2 linked regions of the Tribolium castaneum genome follow. The protein of the gene in region 1 binds, or shares a complex with, the protein of each later gene. Links are inferred from orthologs where the notes say so. Each region holds a gene or a part of one and is shown in the gene's direction. Other genes may lie near its edges.

Region 1 (2,945 bases):
AAATTCTGATATTAATTTTATGTACTTGATTAGGTCTAGGTGGTTTTTTGGTTTGTTGTAAAGGTCGGGGAGGATTACAACAGCGCCGATGTCCCTCTTAGCGGCGTGTTTTGCCTACAAATGAAAAATATTAACAGTTTTAACAAATGTTTAAACTACCATTTCTATAACGTCTTTGAGGGGGGCTCCCCCGATTTGTGCCATCAAAAACTGATTTGTTTTTTCACAAGCGTCAGCCCACGCGTCCGCCAAATCTATTCTTTCATGAATGGTTAAGGACATTCCTTCCCCGGTTATGTCATTAACTAAAATTGACCATTTAATTTAATTCATTTTCTAGAGTTGCGAAATACTTAAAATTCCTTTAATATTGCAAGCTTTTAAAAAATTTGCGTATTTTGGTATAGCCTTAAGGTTTACATCAGGTGTCACTCTTTTTAAGTTAGTAAATGGGGTAAAGACGGGGCACAAAAGCCCCCGAAATTTAAATTTCTGTGCCTTGAATGCAGGCATTGCCGCTTTGAGGGCATGTTTCTTTGACGACATGTGTTTGTGAATGTCGGAAATCCCGCATCTGTAATCCTTTTTACAGAATTTGCAGTAGAAATACGTATTTCCATGTATGCTCTCTGATAACCATGCTTTCAATTCGGGTTTATTCTCCCATTCTTTTTTGTACTTTGGTATGTATTTCTGCGGGAAGGTGGTTGGTTTTTCATTTGGTGTACTGGTGACTTACCTTCGAGTTACTGTCTCGTGATTTCTTTGACGCTGGTTCAAGATTTTCGTCTTTTTTGTCGTCTTGTTTCTCATTTTCTTCTTCGCTGTCTGACTCTTCTGGCACAAAATCGGCAAACAGAGCCTTAGCCGTTTCAGGTGTGCTTATTTGTGAGTCTTTTTCAGCCTTGCTTTTCGTGTTTGAAGCTTCCTGTTTGGAGCATTCGGGTTTCGTCATATTTTTCAAAAATTGTTTATATTTTTCACAAAACATAACCTAAAAAGCTGACATTTTAAGTGGCTTTTGGGTGGTAAGGACGGTAAGGTTGGTAGTCATTTTTACGAAAAACGTGCGTTGTTTGAGGTTATCCAAGTTTTTGAAACAAGTTTAAAATGGATAATATTCTGAATGACGAAAAGCCTCGAGTGATTTTAGGAGAATATAAAGTGACGCAGGTATGTCCTTTATTATTTTGTATTAAATTCCTTCAAACATCCTTTGAAGAATTTGCCCTCGGAACCAACTGTTTTGGACGAGAAATGGGACTTGAAAACCTTTAAGAAGAGATTTAGGGTGGTGATTGTGCGAAGTGAAGAGAATGAACTCGAATTTGACTTGATAGGGATTCACCCGTTCCTAGCAAACACTTTCAGAAGGTTAATGTTGAGTGATGTCCCCACAATGGCCATTGAAAAGGTTCACATTCTTAATAACACGTCTATAATCCAAGACGAAGTTTTGGCCCATCGTTTAGGCCTGATACCGCTAAAGGCCGACCCCCGATTATTTGAAATGAAAACTGATCGTAAGTCTTGTAATGTTGCCGTTCCAAACGTTACAATATTTTTACAGCAACTGCTGAAGGTACCGAACAGGATACTCTAGAGTTTGCGTTAAAAATTAAATGTACCAATAATAAAGACAGCAGTAAAGACTCACTGCGAGCTGAAGATATGTACAAAAACAATAATGGTAATTACCCCGTTTGAGAAACAATAAAAATTGCAATAATTTTAGTGTATTCAAAACACATCAAATGGGTGCCCATTGGTAAACAGAAGGAGCGGTTTAGTGACGTGGGCCCCATCCACCCTGACATTCTCATTGCCAAAATGAGGCCAGGCCATGAGTTAGATTTAAAATTATTAGCAGTCAAGAGCAACGGGCGAGACCATGCGAAATTTTCTCCTGTCGCAACCGCATTTTATCGCCTTCTTCCCGACATAAAATTATTACGAGAAGTGGAAGGTGAAGCAGCTGAGAGACTCCAAAAATGTTTCTCTCCCGGTGTGATTTCAATCCGACATGAAAAAGGCCGCAAATACGCTGTTGTAGCTAATGCGAGGTATGATACAGGAAGTCGGAATGTTTTCCGTTATGAAGACCTCAAGGACGCAGTAGCGATGACCAAAATTCAGGATCATTTCATTTGTAAGTTTTTTTTTATTTACTTTTTCAGTTTTTATTAATTGTAATTTAGTTACGGTCGAATCTGTGGGGGCTTTACCACCTGATGTGATATTCATGGAAGCTGTTAAAATATTAAAAGACAAATGTCTTGCTTTATTAGATGAATTAAGTCATGTATAAACATTTCACTTAATATACTTTTATCAAACCACAAAAAATATAATGAACAAGGTTAAAAATAAAAAACATTTGACGCGTAAATTTTTGCTACCTTAAACCTTCCTTCACCTATTGTCTAGTAAAAAATTAAATTGTAAATTGACTGGAATCGGAAAATTATTGCCTAGGCGTAATAACTGGGAGGCACTGTGAGATCACTTAAAACTAACAGTTCTTCCTCAGTAAATTTGAGTTTGTGGATTTCCCAGTTTTCGTGATGCGTTCGCTTGAAATCTCCCAAGGTTTTGCGAATTGTTGCCTAAAAATTATTAATTATTTTTTTAAACGACGAAAGTGTGACTCACAGGAATGGGTTGGGGGTCGTTCAAATGGGGTCCTAATTGTCCAAAAACATCCGGTAAAAAGTCAGGTACGTCGTATGGATGGCTATTGATAAAAGCACACAAGCCCAAAACTCCAGCATGTCTAAATCTTAAAGTACTAAGATTCAAACTGTTTGAATTGTTCAAATTTTTCTTCTTCAATTTAGTTTTCGCTTTCTGTTTAAATTGCGCCTAGAATTCACGAATTATTTAACGATAAACTAAGAACCCGAATAATTACTAATAATTCTTGAGGGTTTGGAATAAATTGGCAG
Region 2 (2,548 bases), on another chromosome or scaffold:
AACAGGGTGTTGCATTTGAAAAAATCGAGTTATTGCAATATGTAGTTTGTCATATTCAGAAAATCGTAGTAGGCGCTAAAATATCGACATCGAGTTTGCTTTTATTGCAAAAGATGCGCTAAAGCTTAAGAAGTTGGCTAAGAAAAAAAATTGTTACATTATCTTAAATGGTTCTGAAGTTATACATTTTTTGAGGGTCTTTGCACGACACACTTTTCACACATAAATTGACATAAGTCAAAAACTATGACAGATAAGTCTATAAAACCCGGGTGCATTATATCGACAATTTAGTCACGTTTTCAAAAATATAATAAAAATTGGGGTTTCCAATTAAAAAAACAAAACCTAGTGGAGTATTTTATTACAACATTACAACATAAAAATATTGTAAGACCTATCGTTTAAAAAAACTTTAAATTGATAGTTTGCATAGAAAAAAAGTTATGGAGCATGCACGAACTCTTGGGTCACTCTGTATATGCACTACCTCGTGAGACACCCTGTATATTTTAGGTGCAAAATGCTTGGTTCAATACTTTAAATTGAAATTAGCTGTTATAAATTATTCACGCACTTCAAAAAAATAATAGCTAATCTAATTTATACTTTCAATGATAGTTCCAATCATAAATAACAATTTTACAATTTTATCAATACTATTTAAAAACAATATTCGGCAAAATGCGGCGTTGGTGTTTTTTAAGTTTTGAATGGTAAAAGCTCAGATCAAAGTAGTTAGCGTTGTTATGTTTACGCAATTGTTTATTCATTGTTTATTTGACAATTTATTACCAAACAATTACCACTTGTTACCAAACGTATATAGTTATTTTTTTTATATAAACAACTGTCAGTGTCAAAATTCTGATAAGGACAAGACTGTATCAGTACTTAATCTTAGAACATTTTATCGCGTTTTATATTGGGTTTAAATATTAAACAATTCCTACCTTGAAACGGGACAAATCCGCTTGTGTAAAATCATTCGGCAGATTAATGTAAAAGTATGGAGAAAAACCATGAATATGACAACACACACTATTGCCCACTTTTGTAATACCAAACATTCGAATCACAGGAACAGTACCAGTTTGAGCCCCTGGCATTCCAGGATAAGGGGCTGAAATGTAATGATCCAACTCTAATTCTTGAAAAATTAGTGCATCATCAGTGGGGTTTAAATCGCCAACTGGGGGGCGAAAAATTTTGTCGTTCCTTCAATTAACCAAATAGAAAACAATCATTTTTTGTCAAGAAATCTTACTTGAACCTCTTCCCTGATGAATTCGGAGGCGGAAGATTGCGTTTTGTTGCCATTTTGCTGTAAACAAACGGACTCCAAACAAGATATTTCAGTTTCTTCCCGCTTAAAATAATTATAGGTTATGTTGTCTTGAAATGCGTGAAGTGTGACCAATATGTAAATTGGAAAATTCCCAACAGTTGACACATGTGTTTTTTAGGTTAATTTTTCGAATTAAATCACTCAAAAAATTAAAAATGAGTACTGGCCCTAATTTTGAAAGTATCGAAGGGTTTTGTCCCGACTGTGGTTCCATTTTGCCACCTTTAAAACAAACAGGAGGTGTGAAATGTTATGCCTGTGAACGCAATTTTCCATCAGATGGTAAGTTAAATTTGTCTCAATGATAATTCTAAAGAATTGATAATACTTTTTTTGTAGTTTTTCGAGGAACTAAAGCTTCATATGTGATACACTTCAATTCGCGAGACTACAAAACTCATTCAATGAACAAGCAGAACAATAAAAAGGATGAAGAAGAAGATGATGGTCCTGTTGTTGATAGAAAATGTGCCAAATGTGGTCATGATAAAATGACTTATGCGACAGTTCAATTGAGATCAGCAGATGAGGGCCAAACTGTGTTTTATACTTGCACAAAATGTAAATTCAAAGAGAGTGAAAATTCGTAATTGGTCAATAAATACGCATTTTTGTTAATAACTAATTTATTCAATTTAAAAGCATTAATAATTAAAAAAAATGAACAAATAATCTATAGTCCTATGGAGGACTATAGATTAGGAAGCGAGACGGGGTGTAAAATAGTACGGTAGAATTAAAATTGGGCGCTTCGAGTGTTATTTGGCGCCTAATAATCGTTTTACATTAATTTTATTTCAACCAATTAATGGAAAAAATACATCCGTACCGTAATAGGTTGAAAAAAAGTGACGCCCAAAATTTTTACGAGAAACGTGAAAAACAATATTTGAAATCTGCCGCATTGTCTCATATTTTTCAAAACGCTGCAAATACAGTTGAAGATACAAAAAAATGACTAGTGACTGTTTTAGGCTCTACACCAACTTACAACATGAGTGAAAGTGAGACTTAATTGTTTGTGTTATGTTTTTACTTAATAAAAAAAGTCTACCTTTTATATTATTGCTTTGGATGTTACAAAGTTCTGTTTACTTGAATCACCCTGTATTTTTACGTTAAAGTTCGCTGCCAAAAGATTAAAGATTGATATTGTGTTTTAAACCTTTTGAAACTGAAGATTTCAAAAATTATTTTGAT

The links. Proteins that work in one complex are often made in the same cells at the same time.
Region 2: Polr1C (region 1) and Polr1H share a complex: the UniProt entries of both Homo sapiens proteins name them as parts of the pol I pre-initiation complex. The link is inferred for Tribolium castaneum from reciprocal best matches to the Homo sapiens genes POLR1C and POLR1H.

Annotation. Positions count from the first base shown.
Region 1 is NC_087396.1:18,341,393-18,344,337, forward strand, and holds Polr1C (DNA-directed RNA polymerases I and III subunit RPAC1), read left to right. Parts: upstream 1-998; 5' UTR 999-1,110; coding exon 1,111-1,173; intron 1,174-1,222; coding exon 1,223-1,523; intron 1,524-1,570; coding exon 1,571-1,690; intron 1,691-1,735; coding exon 1,736-2,149; intron 2,150-2,198; coding exon 2,199-2,308; 3' UTR 2,309-2,389; downstream 2,390-2,945. Other genes in the region: N-acetylneuraminate lyase A, read right to left, coding at 1-114, 160-305, 354-693, 740-991; proteasome activator complex subunit 4, read right to left, coding at 2,472-2,606, 2,653-2,862, 2,912-2,945. UniProt on the Homo sapiens protein: DNA-dependent RNA polymerase catalyzes the transcription of DNA into RNA using the four ribonucleoside triphosphates as substrates.
Region 2 is NC_087397.1:21,420,330-21,422,877, forward strand, and holds Polr1H (DNA-directed RNA polymerase I subunit RPA12), read left to right. Parts: upstream 1-1,414; 5' UTR 1,415-1,503; coding exon 1,504-1,630; intron 1,631-1,687; coding exon 1,688-1,938; 3' UTR 1,939-1,969; downstream 1,970-2,548. Other genes in the region: PolD1 (DNA polymerase delta catalytic subunit), read right to left, coding at 954-1,218, 1,268-1,320. UniProt on the Homo sapiens protein: Core component of RNA polymerase I (Pol I), a DNA-dependent RNA polymerase which synthesizes ribosomal RNA precursors using the four ribonucleoside triphosphates as substrates. Can mediate Pol I proofreading of the nascent RNA transcript.